Linked DNA regions of Macaca fascicularis. The protein of the gene in region 2 purifies or fractionates together with the protein of the main gene of each other region. This does not show direct contact. Links are inferred from orthologs where the notes say so. Each region holds a gene or a part of one and is shown on either strand. Other genes may lie near its edges. The genes, in order: SLC27A2 and SAAL1.

Region 1 (9,935 bases), on a different chromosome or scaffold from region 2:
TCAACAAATATGTATGGGATGCCTATTATGAGCGACACACTGTTAGGCATGGAAAATGATAATGATAATAATGGCAACATGTGTTGAGCATTTACTAAGTTCCAGCTACTACGTGGTTTACGTATATCATCTCATGTTGTCTTTGTAGACCTCATGTGAGGTAGGTACTATTATCTCCTTGTCGGCTGATGGGAAGCTGAGATTTAGAGAGGTTAACTATCCTGCTCCAATAGTAGAGTCAGGATTCAGGCTGACTAACTCCAGAGTACTTGCTCTCAGCACTACTTTAAGTATCTGGAGCCAAATCTGAACCACTGAGTGTGGCTAGGAACATTCTCCATAGCCCCCTGCTCTACCAGAGAAGCTACTGAATATGGCTGAGAAGAGGGCAGAGAAGCACAGTGGCTTCCACCTCCCAGCACTGGCCCCAGATCCTCCTGATGAGCTGGGCCATGTATGTGTGTGGATGGGTGTCATTGGTTTAGCTGCTCTGCTAAGGCAGAGGTTGCAAACCTCCCTGGCATCCAGTGCTTGGGAGTCGTTGGTGGGGTTAGTCCCTCCAGACACAGCGTATTCTAGGCAGCTCTAAGGGTGAGGAAGTTCCCGATTACATTGATCTAGGCCCTTCCCCCATTCATTCTAGTTTTTATCCCATTCTTTTTTATTTTTATTTTTTGCAAAGTCTTTTTGATATAATCTTTCCCATACCCCACAGAATCTGGACTTCCTACTTCCTATGATGACCCATGATTAAATTTTTTAAAAAAATTTTGCATAGATCTCCTGCTTGTCTAATGACCTATGATTGTTTCCTTTCTGTTTTCTTTTCCTTTTTTTTTTTTTTTTTTTTTTTGAGATAGGGTCTTGTTCTGTCACCCAGGCTGGAGTGCAGTGGCACAATCTTGGCTCACAGCAACATCTGCCTCCCGCTTCAAGCGACTCTCTTGCTTCAGCCTCCCGAGTAGTTGGGATTACAGGCGCGTGCCAACAAACCCCGCTAATTTTTGTATTTTTAGTAGAGACTGGGTTTCTCCATGTTGGCCAGGCTGGTCTTGAACTCCTGACCTTGAATGATCTGCCCGCCTCGGCCTCCCAAAGTGTTGGGATTAGAGGCGTGAGCCATCGTGCCTGGACTGATGACCTGTGATCAAAAAAAAATCTTTAACTGAAGTTTTTTTTTTGTTGTTGTTGAGATAACTTTGATCTTTTATTATACTTTCTATGAGTATTTTCCAGACAAACAGAACTCAGGGGTGGGGAAGCACTGGCAAATAGGAAGTCCAGGGGTCATTCAAGATTATGCATTAAATCATAGTATATTTTGAAGTCATAAAACCCCAATCAAATTGTCTTTGTTTTCCAGTATTCGAGATAACAGTAAGAGAAAAACTGGGAGAGTGCATGCATGTGTGTGTGTATGTGTGCATGTGTGTATGTGGATATGTGTAAGCCTTAAGACAGCTACACACAAACATACTTATTTTCCTCCAGTTGAAAGGAAGCTCCCGTTAGAACGTATAGAAACAACACACACTCCCCAGGAGATTTCTAACTGACAAGGGAGTGTCTTTAAGGTAGAGAAGAAAAGCCCAGCAGAAGGGCCCCATATGGATTTCTGGATGTTAATGGAGAGACATGCTATCTTGAGGGCCACGTGGAATATTAATGAGAAAAAAATTCAATAATGACATTAACAGAAACTGCTGCGGAAAACGCCCTAACCCAACTCACTGCTAATGATGATCCTCAAGAATCTATTTAATATGCCAAAAAATCAGAATAATATGTGCTAAGCCCAAACATTTTGGGGGAAACATTTTAGCTCCCTCAACTCAACTATATGTTTTTCAGGGTCAAGGATTTAAAAGGTTCGGTCCGCAAAATCTGTTGATGCCTATGATATGTCATTTACAGATCTCGGTGCTGTGGATCTGGTAGTGGACAGAGCCCCTGCTCATATGCAACTTTCATTTAATTGGGCGGGGGGGCCAGACAATAATCGCATAAACCTTTAGTATGTCAGGAGTGACAGGTGCCATGAAATGCAGTGACAAGCTGGACAGTGAGGGGCAGGTGATATGTTTGATTATTAGCAGGAGAGGCCTCTCTCCTAATGAGGTAACATCTGGGCAGATACTGAGTAAAGCGAGGTGAGAGAGACCTGGGGGAAGAGCATCCGACACTTCTTTCTGCGTCACATAGCGGCTGGTATGTAAGGTGAGCACAACAGGTGTTTATCAATAGCAATTTATCAACTTAGTGATCCTTTGAGGTTAAGTTGACTGAGTAGATTAAAGGAACTAGAATCTGGTGAAAGGGATTAGAATCTGGCAAGTTTACTGCATTGTCTTGCCCAGTGGTTCTCAACTAGGGTAGCATTTGCCTGCCAAGGGATATTTGGCAGTATCTGGAGACATTTTGATGATCACAACCTGGGCAGGTGGGGAGGTTACTACTGGCATCTCGTGGGCAAAGTTCAAAGGGTGCTAAACACTCTACAATGCACGGAATAAGTCCATGCAGCAAAGAATTAAAAGCCCAAAGTGTCAGCAGTGCCACTGTTGATAAATCCTATCTGATACCAGATCTGTGATGAGAGTTGAGGGACTGGGCAGGAGGAGCTCTTGAGAACAACCCCATCGAGAGCTGAACATCTGCAAACCAGGCAGATCCAAGGCCGTTGGAGATGCCCTGGGGCCTCTGTTCCCAGCTTGGTGACAGACTTGGCTGGTTGGTTTCAAAGTCACGCAGGGATTTATTTATTAAACAATATTAAGTAAAAGTTTCCTGTATGGTTTTGGTATAACAGAAAACAAGGAGACAAGATGTGGTTCCAGCCATCAAAGATATTACAGCCAAGGAAGGATGGGAGGCATGAACGCAAACTCCTGCAATGTGACAAGGGCCACAGAGGGTAGAAATAAAATGACGTAGGGGAGAAGAGTAATGACTTTTGTTGGAGTGACCCAAATAGGTTTAATGTATGAGGTATCATTTGAACTGGGCTTTGACAATGGCTTTTAGTAAGCAGAGAGGGAAATGCATGATATGCTAGGTGGGGGGTAAGATGTGAAAACAAGTAAAAAGTCAGGAAATAATAATCATCATCATGATAATATGAACTCCCACCTAATAAGTCCCCTCTATATGGTAGGTATAGTGCCAAGTACTTTATCATGATAATTGTATACTAAACTCAAAACTGATATACGCAAATCAGCTAAAGCCTAGCACAACCCAAAGTGACTTGAATTTCCATCTTACCCATTTCAAAATGATAGTACAACCGGGGTAGTGTTACCTGTGGTGTGTTGCATAAATACCGAAGCAGTTCACCGATATACTGAATGACAGTGACGTTGTATTTTCTGCAGTCATCCCAAAACTGGCTGGCTGAAAATTTAGTCCGCAAGGCAAGAGTAGCACCTACAGAGAAAGCATAGAAAGTGTCAAGAAAGAGGCCGGGCGTGGTGGCTCAAGCCTGTAATCCCAGCACTTTGGGAGGCCGAGGCGGGCGGATCACAAGGTCAGGAGATCGAGACCATCCTGGCTAACACGGTGAAACCCCTCTCTTCTAAAAATACAAAAAAATTAGCCAAGCATGGTGGCGGGTGCCTGTAATCCCAGCTACTCGGGAGGCTGAGGCAGGAGAATGGTGTGAACCCGGGGGGCGGAGCTTGCAGTGAGCCGAGATTGTGCCACTGCACTCCAGCCTGGGGCACAGAGCAAGACTCCGTCTCAAAAAAAAAAAAAAACAAACAAAAAGAAAGTGTGAAGAAAGAAATGGTAGAAAAAATTCTCCCAATTATATTTAATTTGTGAACTTTGAAAGACAGAAATTTAAAAGTAAATTATATTTGCAAACAAGTATTGAGTACCTTATATTCAATGCAAAAAATTAGTAAGACATGGTTTTGTTTGATAGGGGCTTCCAATCTATGGAGGAGAAGACTTATACAAAGGTCATTTTAATAAAAGTCAGCTTGCAGTAAGAGATTCAAATGAGGTCCTAAGAGGGAGGGAGGGGGGAGGGACAGAGATTTCATGCAAAAAAAATATATATATATAAATAAATATAAATATTTCATGCTATATAAATATATATAGTGAGACTGTCTCAAAAATACACATATACACACACATACGTGTGTGTGTGTGTGTGTGTGTGTATATATTTGAGACAGAGTCTCGTTCTATTTTTTTTTTTCTTTTTTTGAGACTGAGTCTCGCTCTGTCACCCAGGCTGGAGTGCAGTGGTGCCATCTTGACTCACTGCAACATCCGCCTCCTGGGTTCAAGTGATTCTCTTGCCTCAGCCTCCTGAGTAGGTGAGATTACAGCTGTGTGCCACCACGCCTGGCAAATTTTTTGTATTTTTAGTAGAGATGGGGTTTCCCTGTGTTAGCCAGATGGTCTCAATCTCCTGACCTTGTGATCTGTCCCCCTCGGCCTCCCAAAGTGCTGGGATTACAGGCGTGAGCCACTGCACCTGGCCCGAGTCTCGCTCTGTTGCCCCGGCTGGAGTGCAGTGGTGCAATCTTGGCTCACTGCAACCTCCGCCTTGTGGGTTCTTGTGCCTCAGTCTCTAAGTAGCTGGGATTATAGGCGGGCACCATCATGCCTGGCTAATTTTTGTATTTTTTAAGAAGTGATGGGGTTTTGCCATGTTGACCAGGCTGGTCTCAAACTCTTGACCTCAAGTGATTCGCCTGCCTCAACCTCCCAAAGTGCTGGGATTACGGGCAGGAGCCACTGTGCCTGGCTCGTTCATGCAATATTTTAAATAATTTTGTGCATAAAATAAAGTTTGTGTTAAGTACTTATCTGTAGTATTTTCCACTTGTGGTGTCCTGGTGCTCAAAAAGTTTCAGATTTTGGAGCATTTTGGATTTCAAATTTTTGGATTGTGTGTGTGTGTGTGTGTGTGTGTGTGTGTGTGTGTGTTTAAGCTGCTATAACAATATAGTACAGACTGGGTGGCTTAAATAACATATATCTCTTGCAGTTCTGGAGGCTGCGAAGTCCCTATCAAGGTGTTGGCAGATCGGGTGTCTGGTGAGGGCATTTTTCCTGGTTTGGGGACGGTCATCATCTCCCTGTGTCCTTACATGGAAGAGAACGGAGTCAGGAAAGAAGCTCTCTCCTGTCTCTTCTGATAAGGGCACTACCTTTCATGAAGGTGCTTCTCTCATGACCCAATTACCTCCCAAAGACCCTACCAGCTAATACCATCACATTGGGGGTTAGGATTTCAACACATACATTTTTGGGGGACACAAATATCCATCCATGACATGCATGCATATACACACACATATATGTGTGTGTATATACATATGTGTATATATTTTTATATATACATATATGATTATTTAAAATGAAATGCCACATGGGAGAAAAAGTTGCTTTTTAGTTCAGTCAGAAAGTTACAGATAGCTTCCTGGAAGAGGTGGCTATTGAACTTTGCAGTAATGTATACAAGTGACATAAATCCTCCTGGAAGGAGAGAGGATGGCAACTCCAATTTGAATAGTAAAGTCTGAGAAGGAAAGAGAAGAGATGGCAAGCCAAGCCAAGTATTCTGATGGAGTTGCCATCTTCTCTCCTTCTAGTAGAGCTGAAAAGCTGTGGAAACAGGGGAGGCTGCAGAAGAGTGCACACAACTGAAGAAGTTTAAATCAGATGCTGATGGAGATCAACATGTAAGTTTCTAAAGATGGAAATGACATGACATAGAATCTAAGATTCAAGTGTCATAACCTAGATACAGATAATTTTTTATTTTTATTTTTATTTTATTTTTCACAGTTGAGGTCTCACTCTGTCAACCAGCTTGGAGTGCAGTGGTGCAATCACAGCTCACTGCAATCTTGAACTCTTGGACTCAAGCAATTCTCTTACTTCAGCCTCCTGGGTAGCTGGGACTACAGACTTGAGCCACCATGCCTGGCTATTTTTTTTTTTTGTAGAGATGAGGTTTGCTCTGTTGCCCAGGCTGGTCTTGAACTCCTGGCCTCAAGCAATCCTCCTGCCTTGGTCTCCCAAAGTGCTGGGAATACAGGTGTGAACCATTGCACCCAGCTCTAAAAAATTTAAAGGAGTTTCTCACTTGATATGCTGAACAATTATAGCATTATATTATTAGATAAGCAGGCATGAAAAAACAGATTATTTTAGATGCTTGCTTGTAATATGAGTCAAATAGCCTTATTGTTAAAGCAAAATTGAAGACTGTTCCAAGCAGACAGCAACGTAGCCAAATTTTATATTACTGTTCCTTGTGAGAAAATGTAAATGTGCACTCGCCTCCAACACTTTGTAGGAAAAACTTACCAGCCACAATACATCCATGAAGGCCAATCAATAGTGCAGCACTGTGGTACAAGGGCAGAGTGATATAGATGACATCATCTGCCTTCAATCCGCTTACAAAAGTGAGGCCAGTTCCATACCATATGCGCTGATGAGTGATCATGGCCGCTTTTGGAAGACCTTTGCAAATATACAAGAGAAGGTATGAGTTAACCAAGATTGGGCATTTACAGTGTAGGAGAGAGATCTGGCTTAGGAAGATTAATCATCCTGTATTTTGAGAATTGCACTGGGAAGGGCCATGACCGGTTAGACCAGAAGTTGACAAATTTTTTCTATAAAGGACCAGAGAGTAAATGTTTTAGGCTTTGTGGGTCATACAATCTCTGTTGCAACAACTGAACTCTGCTATTGTGGTCAAAAGCAGCCATACACATACACATAAATGGAGTGTGGCTGTGTTCCAATAAAACTTTATTTATAAAAACAGGTGGGAAGCTGTATTTGGCCCACAAGCAACAGATTGCTAACTCCTGAGTTAGATGGTTAGATGGTAGTAATCTGAAGAGAAACAGAAAACAGAGGAATGAATGTCTATTGAATTTCTGCTCTGTGGCTACCATTTTGCATGAAATTTAAAAAATGTCATTTAATTTCCATAACATGTTTATGTATGACATAAACAGAATTATATTCTCCAATCCACAGATGTGAAGGCTGGGAGTCAGAGAGATTTCTTATGTACTGGAGTTATTTTATACAAACAAAGCAAATATGAACATTTCCTTATATGTTCTTGCCTTTTCCATTAAAAAATATGCACACTCAGCTGGGTGCGATGGCTCACACCTGTAATCCCAGCACTTTGGGAGGCCAAGGTGGATGGATCACAAGGTCAGGAGATCGAGACCATCCTGGCTAACATGGTGAAATCCCGTCTCTACTAAAAATACAAAAAATTAGCCAGGCGTGGAGGTGGGCACCTGTAGTCCCAGCTACTTGGGAAGTTGAGGCGGGAGAATGGCGTGAACCTGGGAGGCGGAGGTTGCAGTGAGCTGAGATAGCGCCACTGCACTCCAGCCTGGGCGACAGAGTCAGACTCTGTCTCAAAAAAAAAAAAAAGCACACTCTTTTGCATGTTTTTTGTCTCTGCTGCTTAACACTGTTTATTGGAGATTTGTTCATGTTTGTACATAGAGATTTTTCTTATTCATTTATTTATTCTCTTTCTCAGCTCCTTCAGAAGTCCTTTTATGAGTCTATTATAATTTATTTATACTATTTGCTGTTACAAATGATGCTGCAGTGAAGAACCTCGTCCACATGGCAGTTCACATATGAATGACACCATATCTTTTGGATAAATTCACAGAAGTGAGATTGTTGTGTCAAAAGATAAAAGATGGCCAGTCCTGTAATCCCAGCACTTTGGGATGCTGAGGCAGGAGGATCGCTTGAGCCCAGGAGTTCAGCACCAGTCTGGGCAACATAGTGAGACCCCTCCTCAACAAAAAGTAAAACAAATTAGCTGGGCGTGGCAGCATGCATCTGTAGTCCTAGCTTCTTGGGTAGGAGGATTGCTTGAGCCCAGGAGGTTGAGGCTACAGTGAGCCCTGATCCTGCCACTGTACTCCAGCCTGGGCAACAGATTGAGTCCCTGTCTCAAAAAAAAAAGTCTTTGTAATCTTGATAAATAACTGCCACATTGCCAGTTATAAGGGGTGTCCCCATTCATTCTCCTACCAGCAATACATGAGTATGCCTGTTTCCTCCTAGCCTTGTCAATGTGTGCTCTTAAATGTTGGGACCTTTGCCAGTCAGAAAGGTGAAAAACGGTATCTCCATGTAGTTTTAGTACATTAGACTAAATGCGTTTGCATATTCTTAACCATAATTTATATACGTTTTTGTAAGATTTTCTTCTGTTAAGTGTTTGCTTATATTGTTTCCCATGGAAGAACAGTTCAATTGGGGAGGGCATGAAGTCACTGGGAAGGGGACTAAGAGTTTCAGATCTGAGTGGGTAAGTAGACTTCATGAAGAGGAAGACAGATCTCTGTTGACTCAGATTCTTCAATACTTGATGGTACATTCACCGGATATTGCCCAAATAGCAGCAACTTGTTCCGAGGCAGACAAATATGGTCAGCAACCTACCATTATTGTAAACACAATTCAAAATTCATTTTCTTTGACAATGGGCCAGTTGTTTTGTTTTGTTTTATATATTATTATTAGTATTATTTTTGAGATAGGCTTTCACTCTGTTGCCAGGCTGGAGTGTAGTGGTGTTCAAGGCTCACCACAGCCTCAGGTCAAGTGATCCTCTTGTCTCATCCCCGCAAGTATCTGGGACCACAGGTGTGCACCACCATGCCTGACTAATTTATTTATATTTTTTGTAGAGACGAGGTCTTGCTTTATTGCCCAGACTGATCTTGAACTCTTGGCTTCAAGTGAGCCTCCCATCTTGGCCCCAAAGTGTTGGGATTGTAGATAAGAGCCATCGTGCCTGGCCTCTCAATTTTTAAAAAAGAAATGCTCATCTTTGTTGCCTTGAAGTACTTTCAGAACTTTCCTAAATTAAGATTTTGTATCAATGAAGAAATGAGAATATTTGATAACTATTATATAATTTTGTGCTAACGACTTCCTTTGAGGAACAGGGACATTTGTTCTCCAACTGTTTAAATGAATTCTTTTAATTAATGTTTACAAGAGTAACTTGGCATTTTTTTTTTCTACAGAGAGTGCCTTGCTCTGTCACCCAGCATGGGGTGCAGTGGCACGTCACTGTAACCTCAGACTCCTGGGCTCAAGTGATCCTCCCACCTCAGTCTCCCAAGTAGCTAGGACTACAAGGTGTACCACTATGCCAGCTAATTTTTTACTGTTTTTGTAAAGATGGGGTCTCGCTATGTTGCCCAGTCTGGTCTCAAACTTCTGGGCTCAAGTGAACCTCCTGCCTTAGCCTCCCAAAGTTCTGAGATTATAGATGTGAGCCACTGTGCTTGGCCTAGCAAATATTTGATTCAGAGAAAATGAAAAAAGTAAAATAAACACCCATTCAATTGTCTTCCAATTAAATATAAATTCTGACTTAAGAGATTAAATCAGAGAATGCTCATTCTCCTTTTTCTCCCTAAAAGGGATTTTCTATTTGACTGTGAAAACAGCATTATAACAAAGTTTCATACTTGTTTACACAGTACTAAGACTGGATTTCCCCCTCACTAACCAAGGGCTCAATCCTTTCCCAAATAAACATTTACAATTTGATTTTACCATTCTATTAAGAAATGATGATAAAAGTCCCATATGTTAAGGGAGTGTCTGTGTGCAGCAGAGCAATCGGTTAATTGTGCCAGCTCACCTTTCTGTTGGCCTGGCAATAAAAATAAAAAAATAAAAAAATGAGAGGCATTATGTTTTGGGCACCAGCTTTAATATATCAATTCTGGCTTCTTCTCATTTACTGAAATACTTAGCAAAAGTGACCGTATGAAGTGAGGCCAACAATCAGGTTAAACTCAGGTCCAGGAACTGTGAGCTCAGGTGGGTGCTGAGGGCCTGTCGAGGCGAAGGAGACAGTTCCTGTCAGCTGTAGCTGAGATAAAAGGCTC
Region 2 (9,935 bases):
ACTATAGCCTGGGCGACAAAATAAGACTCTGTCTTTAAAATAAGTAAATAGGCCAGGCGGGGTGGCTCACACCTGTAATCCCAGCACTCTGGGAGGCCGAGGCGGGTGGATCACCTGAGCTCAGGAGTTCCAGCCCAGCCTGGCCAACATGGTGAAACGCTGTCTCTACTGAAACAATACAAAAATTAGCTGGGCACAGTGGTATGTGGCTGTAATCCTAGCTACTTGGGAGGCTGAGGCACGAGAATCACTTGAATCCAGGAGGCAAAGGTTTCAGTGAGCCAAGATCGTACCACCGCACTCCAGCCTGGGCAGCAGAGCAAGACTCTGTTTCCAAAAAATAAAAATAAATAAAAAGTAAAATAAGTAAATAAATACAATAATAAAATAAATTTTGAAGTTTAGCATATTTTTATAACTAGGGAAATGAAAGCGTTTTTTAAAAGGGAGAAATCAATGAAATGAAAAACAATATGAGCCTAGGAAATTGTACTTGCCTTTTTCTATCTTTAGATACTCTTGCTCAGTCTGTGAGGCATAAATGGCAGACAACACTGAAAAAACAGAGGCTAGCACTGTTTTCTGTTCTTGAAGAATGATGGGTGGATCATCAGACTGGCAGAATTCATGGCAGACCAGGTCAAAAAGTAAATTCCAAATGTCTTTTCCAGTGTCAGGACAATGTACTTAATAAAGACAACAAATAAAGCAGTACTTTAAAATCAGCAAACAATTAAATGAGTAACTGTAGCGCTTCCGATAAACCATCTTACCAATTGCTTGAATTCCATCATCCACTGTAGTAAGCAGTTGTAAAATATGCATGTAAACATCAAGCCATTCTGGATTTTCAGAACTAAACAGGAAAAGTAAAAGCACTGAATCAACGTTACTGTCCAGGGGATTCCAATCATTCATCCATTCAATAAATATCTATTACTCTGCCAGCCACTGTTCAAGGTGCTGAGGATAAAACAAGGAAAGGAACGAAGGCTCTGTGCTCGTTAGAGCTTTTATATTCTAATAGGGGAAACAGCAAAAAATAAACATTATATAAAATAATCAACACACACAGGACAAGAAGTAAAAAAATCTTTTTGGCTCTATCTCATAAAAGCAACAATGCAGAAACCTGCTAGTTGATACTTTATCATTTTGGTTTGCTTGAATAATCAGAACAAAAAAATGACTGCGATTTTTATAGTATGAACGTAAGGTCCACTGCACCATGCATCAACAAAAATGATGTTCTGAAAACGTCTCAGGATTATCCTAGCCCCCTAGCTGAGAATACTAAAAGCATATAAGTCTAATTCTTATGATCAACCATTTGGATTCTCAAAAATCTAAATAGTTTGGAAACTCAAAATCTTAGTTCTTCAACCAAGCAAGTGAAAAGACAGTGAACAATTAAAACAATGGTTTGGCAAATGTTTATTTAAGTACTTACAAATTAAATTTCAGGCACTATGTTAGGAGTTGAGAAAACAGATGTATAAGATGTTATCCCTACCTTCATAAAGTTTATACTTTAAAAAGAAAGAAGATTGCTAGCGGGGTAATTACAATAACGTGGTATGAATGTAACACTATAGGGCTAGGAGCCACTATATAGCAAGGAGACTCAGTTTGCAGGGTCAGGGGAGGTACCTTAAGAAAAATGATGTTTACACAGAAACATGAAGGGGCAAAGAAGTATGTGAGGTGGAGGAAACATACTGTGCAAAGGCCTGGAGACAAGAGAGCTGGTTCAGTTGAAGAAGTGAAGCAAACTTCACATGACTGAAACGCAGAGTACAAGGAATAAGGATAGTACTACTGGGCCTATAAGCTGCACTTTATTTTTCTGAGAATTTTTCATTTATTTCATTCTTTTTCCCCCTATTTTATTTATTTATATTTTGGATTCAGAAGGTACATGTTGGGGGTTGTTACATGCATGGTGCTGAGGTTTGGGAATATGGATGGTCCCATCACCCCGGTGATGTACACAGTACCCAAGCTGTGTTTGTGTTTGTTTTTGTTTTTTTCTGGACCTTATCCTAAGGAAGGTAACTGAAAAGACTGAAGCATGAGAGTGAGACGAGTACGTACTTTGCAAAAACAGCTTTAAAGTCTAGGCTTGGGAAAAGCAAGCATAGAGGCAGCGAATTCAAGTAAAAGAATGTGGCAGTTCTCCAGATGAGAGACAATAATGGCTTGACTGGCATGGATGGAATCCCAGAAAAAGTCAGGAATAAGGGTTGGGAGTTGACTACAATGGGAAAATACTGGGGCAGGAAAGATTCTGTAATGGCTTCTCCATTTCTTCTATATTATCCAAACAGGACAGTGATTACATCATTTACTGAGATTGAGAATACTGATGAAGCAGGTTTAGGGAAAGATGATGAATTTAATCCTCACTTGGATAAAGGACACAAAATTAATAGGTTTGATGTGGCTTACTCAGCACTAAGAATGCACTAAGCAAATCACTAAGCAGATCAATTTAAAAATTAATTTTCTAGTGATTAGCAATAAACAGTTTTAATGACCTATAAGGCTTAGTAATCACTCTTGACAAGACATCAGAGTCCCAAAATCAGTCACTTATTGAAGACTGGCATATAAACACAAGGAGCAAAAAAAAAAAAGATGTGCAACGTTAATTAAGAAGTTGTTAAATGTTCAACGTAAAAGCACAAGAAAATGTTTTCTCTTTGGTTTAAATTACATAAAATATGATAAGACAGAAACCACAGTTAATGTTGAATAACAGCCTATAGCTAAATGATAATGTAACAGGAAGTTTGTAACCACTATCATTCTTATAAAAAGCATACAGGTTGCATCACAAATATTAGTAGTGAATTAACGTAACAAGGAGTGACTGTGTACTTTATTCTGTTGTAAGGAATCTAAGAAGACTTTTATATCTGAGAATACTTCTATCAATTGCATTTTCCCAGAGCACTTTGCACGAAAGAGCTCACCTACCGTACTTGTTTGGCAGCTTCGAGTATACAGGGCACGAGCCGAAACACTGGCTGCTCTTCAGACTCTTCCTGGGGTTGGTCCAGAGGCTGAGTAGCCCCATTTCTGACCCATTCCAACATTAGTTTCTCATCCAAATCAAAGAGCTTGTCTACAACCTCCCCCACCTTCACCAGCAAGTCAACTGCAGAGAATAAAACAAAGATTGAAATAAAAACAAATTGCTAAAAGCAATAGGGTTAAGCAAAATTCCTACAGCTATTCTAACAAAACCAAACCTTGCCAAAGCAGTACTTATTCTAAAGGGTGATTTACTTATCTCACATGTTTAAATTTGCGTATTTTTCCTCATTTTTAAATGAGGAATTCATCAGTGTCCCAGGAATTTAAGAAATTTTATATCTTCAATCAAAAAACTTTCTCCAAAAAACAAACAAAAAGCTGGGCATGGTGGCTTACACCTGTAATCCCAACACTTTTGGGAGGCCAAGGCTAGATGACTGCTTGAACACATGAGTTCGAAACCAGCCTGGGCAAGAAAGTGAGACTCCAGCTCTACAAAAAATTTTAAAATGAGCTGAGCATGGCGGTGCACAACGATAGTCCCAGCTATTGGGGAGATTAACAGAAGGATACCTTGAGCCTAGGAGTTTGAGGCTGTAGTGGGCTATGATCACACTACTGCACTCCAACCTGGGTGACAGAGCAAGATTCTGTCTCAAACTAACAAACTTTATTACCTTGCACCCAAGGCTTTTTTCAAAAAGGTGACTTCTAGAAATAGTTACATGGTTTCCTAAAAATTAAATAAAATTTAAAACTTTTTTTTTTCTAGACTACATGATGACTTACCATTTGTTGAACTTGACATAATGAAGCAAATGCTATCATAAATCGCTGAATGTTCCCGGATCCTTTCAACCCAAACACTGGCCACTTCTGCCTGGGAAAGGCAAGTAAGCAACAACCTACATGGTAAACGTGGGTTGAATTTCTACTTTTCAAAAAAAAATAAAACAGTAAAGGAAATTCGAAAATAAAAAATTAGCTTTTTTTCTTAGCTACTCTTATGAGTAACCTTATAGAATTCATGAAAGGAAAAGCATACCTGCTTGTTTCCAGCAGAGTAGGTGGGTCTGAATCATACAAACAGTGCAATAATACCTGCCTACAAAAACAAAGAAGTTAACCGATATGCCTCACTTCTTGCATTTAAAATATCCGAGTTTTCATTTAAGTTTTTTAACATCTTTATTGTGAAATACAGCATGTATTCAGAAAAGCCCAAAAGATACAAATCTATAGTTAATAAATAATTATAAAGCAAACACTCGTGTTTCCAAGAAACAGAACAGAGCTGCATCTCAGTAGTCACCATGTGTCCATTCCAAATCACAATTCTCTTTCCCACCTAGAAATGATGACCATTCTGATTTTTCCAGCAATTATTTCTTTACTTTGCTCTATAGTTTTATTATTTTATATATTTTGGTGTTGCTTTATACTGCAGGTAAAAGGATTAAGAGGACATGCTGAATAAATAGACATAATCTGGGAGGTTATTCGGATTCATGAAGATGGTCAAGGAGGGGAGACAACATATGAAATAAATTATATTATACTTATTCTTTTGAGTCTTCATTTATTTGCTGGAAACTATACATGTAAGATCCACCCATGTTGTTTCTTTAGCTGTTATTCTTTGACAGATTGTTGCAGAGTACTCCATTGTGTGAAAATAACACAATTTATTTTTCCAGACTACTGCTGATGGCCATTTGCGTTGATTCTAATTTGGGGCTATTTCAAGTAATCCTCCTATAATATTTGTAAGAGTTATCCTGATGCACATGTGCACAGTTTCTCTTACCATATATGCCCACTATGAGCTGGTCACAGCACATGCATATGTTCCAACGTGACCAGATAACGCCCAACTATTCTAAAGTGGTTCAACAAATTTATATCCCATCAGCAAAATAACTTGCACCATACTAATATTAAGATAAGCATTTACTTGAATTTATAATATTTGTTAACATTTCTCATTCCTGGAGTTTTGATAGAGAACATTATAGAGACCAAACATAATCCTAAGTCATTTGCTCCATGGATGACTGTAAATTACTGAGGAATAAATACTCTGAACTAGGATCTTAAAGTCCCTCCACAACTAGGAGTTATCTCTTTCTGAGAAACCCAGGTACTTGAATCCTGTGATAAAACCCTCACGGCCCCAGCTCTGACAAAAACTGCCTAGAACAGTTTTCTTAACCTATTTGGGTACAAATTTTTTTGAGATTCTGATTAACAGCCATGAACCCTTTGCCTAGAAAACTAATACACCCACAAAATTTAGCATATAATTTCAGGGTGTTCTCAGAACACAGTAACCAAACTTGGGTTTCCTCCGTTAAAAAACCTTCTGCCCAGAACTTTACACATGGAGAAGAGAAGTAGCCTCGAAGCAGAAATCTGAGTCTTTTCATCACAGAGGCAACTCTTTATCTTCTAGTTTGTTGGCAAGTCTTATCCTCTAAGTCAGAGCTCTCAGGGTGACATTATTCAACAAATCTAGTTTCTGCAGACTCCAGCTGAGTCACTGGATTCTCTGCACCTAAAATGTTTTGGATTCCAGTTGGCTGCACCATCTCCAAGTTTTGTCCCACTGGTTCTTCCCCTATCTGGCTTACTGCCACCAGCTGACAATTCAGGTTCCTTTGCTACTGAAGAAAACAGGTTTAAATCCTGAATTATTTCAGTACCTCCTGAAGAAGCCCCTAGCTACCATCAACACACAATGAAGTTCCTAGAGAGTATTCATCAAGACAAAGAAAAGACTGTCTTTCAGATTTGCTACTTTTCCTAAGACAAATTTCCTTAAGGATATAAAAGAATATGTTTAAAAACATGATTATATAGTAAGACTTACCCAAGATTTTTATCACTGCTGATGGACACACATATCTCCTGGAAACAGGCCATATTACCTAAAATTCCCACACAGATTTCCTGCCAAATCAAATTTTACAAGTCACAATGGCTCTGAGATGAAAGACATAAACAAAAATATCAACTTGAACAAAAACTTTCACTGAGCCAACTTTTGGGGTAAGGCAGAGGGGAGGCAGGATAAAGAAATACATATACTGCCTGTACCCTAACTTTGACAAGCTTACAGTATTTGAGAAGGGATGAAAGACATAAGAACAAGAAAGGGCAAAGGCAGGAGCTATGGAAGAAGAACTCCTATCGATAAAACGAGTGTTAAATGATTGATAGTATTGAGATACGCAAACAAAAAGACAGACATTCAAATAAGGGGACAGTATCAGCAAAGGCAGGAAGGGAATCATGTATGTGGCGAAGACGGTAGACAATAAAGTACTCCGGTTGTGGCACAAAGTGGGTGAACAGCATGAGGTAAATACCGCAGGTATAAAGGACTGAGATTAAGGGCTCTGAATGCCATGCTGAAGAATTAGATTTAATCTGGGAAGTTATTTGGAATCATGAAGATGCTCAAGGAGGGGAGACAACATACTGAAACAGTATCTTAGAAAGATTATTCTGGTGGCAAAATGCATAATGAATTAGTGTAGCCCCTCTTTATCCACGGTATCAGTTACCCATGGTCAACCTTGGTATAAAAGTACTAAATGGGAAGGTCCAGAAATAAACAATTCATGTTTTAAATTGCATGCCTTTCTGAGTAGCACAATGAAATCTTGCACCGTCTCACCTGGGATGTAACTCATTCTTTTGTTCAACATATCCACACTGTATACGCTGCCTGCCCATTAGTTACTTAGTAGCCATTTGGCTATCAGATCGACCATCATGGTATCTCACAGGGCTTGTGTTCATGTCACCCTTATTTTACTTAATAATGGCCCCAAAGCACAAGAGTAGCGATGCTGGCCATTTGGATATGTCAAGGAGCCACCATTAAGTGCTTTCTTTACATGAAAAGGTGAAAGTTCTTGACTTCATAAGAAAAACATACAAAAATGTATGCTGAGGTTGCTTAGGATCTCTAAGAACAAATCTATCCATGAAATTGTGAAGAAGGAAAAGGAAATTTGTGCATATTATAAATAGGGTTCAGTTCTATTCTTTGATTTTAGGCACTAGGGGCCTTGGAATGTATCTCCCAAGGATAAGGGGAGACTAGTGCATAGGGAAAAGAAGTTGAAAAGAATTTAAGAATCTATCTCAGTAATAGTTAATTAATATGTAATAACATTTATTACCACTCATTATGGCCAGGCATTACTCTAAGCATTTTCCGTGTATAATTTCATATAATAACTTGGGTGAAAGGTACTAATAGTATCCCCATTTTTTCAGATGAGGAAACTAAGGCACAGAGAAGTTAAGCTACTTGCCTAAGATCTTGAGATCTCCAACTAGAACATGGCAGAGCTCCAGAGCTTGAGCATTTAACCACTATTCCAAACTGCACCTCAGTTATCAAGACGCAAGAGGAGGAGGGCCCTCAGGCATGGAAAAGGATGAAGCTGAGGAAGACTCTCAAGGTGAAAGCAAAATAATCCAATGTGAGGATGAGGGAGAAAGCAGCTGAACCTGACTCCTAGCTTTCAAGTTGCCTCATTTTCTCAGTCAGTGATATTGGTCCCATTGACAGGAAAACTAAAAAAGAAAGTGCATAAAAGGCTACAATGAGTTCAGATGGTACGGTGTTTCCAAGCTGGCTGGAATGTAACAATCACTCAGGGAGCTTGTTAAAAATACAGATTTCCAAATCTCATCTCAGATCTACTGAATTATAATTTTCAGGGTACAGCCTGGAAAGCTATTGTTTACCCAGCATATACCAGGTGACTTTTATGATCAGATAAGCGTGACCATAAATCACTGAGGACATACACAATTCAGGGTTAGAGAGCACAGCTGACCCTTGAACAACACAGGTTTCAATGTGTGGGTCCACTTAGAGGTGGATTTTTTCTAACCAAACTTGGAATGAAAATACAGTGTCCTCAAGATGCAAAACCTGCGTAATATGCAGAGCTGACTTTTCATACACACAGGTTCCACAGAGCTGACTGCAGAATTGAGTATGTGCGGATTTCAGTATGGGGGAATGTCTTGCAACCATCCCCCGTGTATACCAAGGGACAACTGTACAGCATGCAAGCAGAGAATGCCTGAAGAAAGTTGGAGATGTGACATCAGTTATCAGAAGGGAAGTCAAGGCTTTGCTCCTACAGGCGAGTTGCAACTTAAAGGTGTAAAGAAAACACATAAGTTCACTAGGAAAATGAATATAATGAGAGCAAAGGATCAGGCCTACACCTTACAAAAAGTCCATATTCGGGACAGTATAAAAAAGGAAGAAAGAAAAAAGCCAATGAAAGGTGAGAGAGGAGTGACTCAAGAGGTCAGAGACGACAGTGAGATGACACAGGAGCTACAGAAATGAAGTTTCAAAAAAATGTGGGTGGTCAAATGTTGGGAAAAGATTAAGAGTGAGTAGGGGCAGGAAAAAACCACATACATTTCCCTTATAAACTAAAGAGGGAATAACTGAACTTCCAATCAAAGATCAAGTTTTTCTGTCTTGGCTGCTCACTGGAATCACCTGGGGAACTTTAAAAGCTGGCCAAAGTCTCACACTTGGAGATTCTGCTTTAACTCATCTAGGGTATGGCCTGACTCAAGATTTTCAAAAGTTCCCCAGGGCAAAGCTTCTCAGAGTCTGGCAATGCTCCAGAGCACCAGCGTCACCTGGGAACATATTAGGAATCCTGGACCTACTGGACTAGAAACTCTGGAGGGGGGCTTGGCGATTAGTGATGCGGGGACATGCTTAAGTTTGACAGCCCATGTCCCAGGTGATTCTAACATGCAGCCAAGGCTGAGAATCACTGTGGCAGCAGACAGTGGCCAGCGGATATATACAACAATATGACTAAATCCTAAAAGGTGCCATTCCTGACATAAGCTTATTCTTTATACACTAGTAGTGAGTAAATATATTTAAGACAGAAAAACTCAGTACAAAAATAGCATAATTGTCAAATCTTACATTAATATAAGGAACCAAGGAAAAAATGGTTAATCAGGCCCTAATTCAGACAGAACATTCTACTTAAATAAGAATTTTAATTCAACATTCAATTTGTAACAACACACTACGGAATTCTCCATTTTATAATCTGAAAGAGAGGAAATACAGTACAGTGGTTATACTGGAGTCAGGCCTAGGCTGAAATCTCAGCTCCATTCTTTCCTAGTTGTGTGACCTGAACACGTATCTTCACCCAAGATCTAGTTCTTTAAAAGTATACCTCTTGGTAGTAAGACCAGGTATTCAGTAAACAGCAGTTTTTCATAATTATAATTATTGAACAGATATTTACTAATCCGTGTATGCACAGCACATGGCAATTTAATTGGCAATAAAGCACAGTACACTGTACAGTATATAAAGTCCTCTCCTTTAGTCTTTATCTATTGTTCTTGGCAGTTTACTAACAGCAATGACCACTGAAAGCTTACTTACTTACTTGGGAAGGTGTGGAAGGAAAAGTACCACTGTGAATAACAGATGCAAATACTAAGAGGGGACAGAAGGCACCCAAAGGGAGGCACGGAGACAGCGTGAGACAGGGAGTAGAAAGGCCTGGCTAAATCAGAAGGGTTACCTGGTTATCCAGATTTTATGCTGGAAAGATGAGTTAGGTTCAGAGAGTAGAAGTCTTGAGCAGCAGGCTGAGTTTAGAATAGTTTTCAAACAATGGTGGATTTTGTCAGTAAAAAAGAGCAATCCACTGAAACATGGGAGGCCCGGGTTCTGCTCCTTGCTCTGATACATACTAGCAGCATAACAGTGGTTATGCCTAACTCGTCTCCACAGCTGTTAAATGAAAGTGCTAATTTCCCTGGTCCAGCCTGAATCTATAATTCTATGATTCTAATAATTTTAAATTATT

What was found.
Region 1: the proteins of SAAL1 (region 2) and SLC27A2 purify together in Homo sapiens (co-immunoprecipitation; 3 studies listed by BioGRID and IntAct, with this or other methods). This does not show direct contact. The link is inferred for Macaca fascicularis from reciprocal best matches to the Homo sapiens genes SAAL1 and SLC27A2.

What each region holds. Positions count from the first base shown.
Region 1 is NC_088381.1:26,685,197-26,695,131, reverse strand, and holds part of SLC27A2 (long-chain fatty acid transport protein 2), read right to left. Parts: intron 9,727-9,935; exon of another isoform or gene 9,598-9,726; intron 6,493-9,597; coding exon 6,334-6,492; intron 3,427-6,333; coding exon 3,302-3,426; intron 1-3,301. UniProt on the Homo sapiens protein: Mediates the import of long-chain fatty acids (LCFA) into the cell by facilitating their transport across cell membranes, playing an important role in hepatic fatty acid uptake.
Region 2 is NC_088388.1:47,679,451-47,689,385, reverse strand, and holds part of SAAL1 (protein SAAL1), read right to left. Parts: intron 5,989-9,935; coding exon 5,909-5,988; intron 4,145-5,908; coding exon 4,085-4,144; intron 3,971-4,084; exon of another isoform or gene 3,945-3,970; coding exon 3,829-3,944; intron 3,161-3,828; coding exon 2,980-3,160; intron 857-2,979; coding exon 774-856; intron 687-773; coding exon 498-686; intron 1-497. UniProt on the Homo sapiens protein: Plays a role in promoting the proliferation of synovial fibroblasts in response to pro-inflammatory stimuli.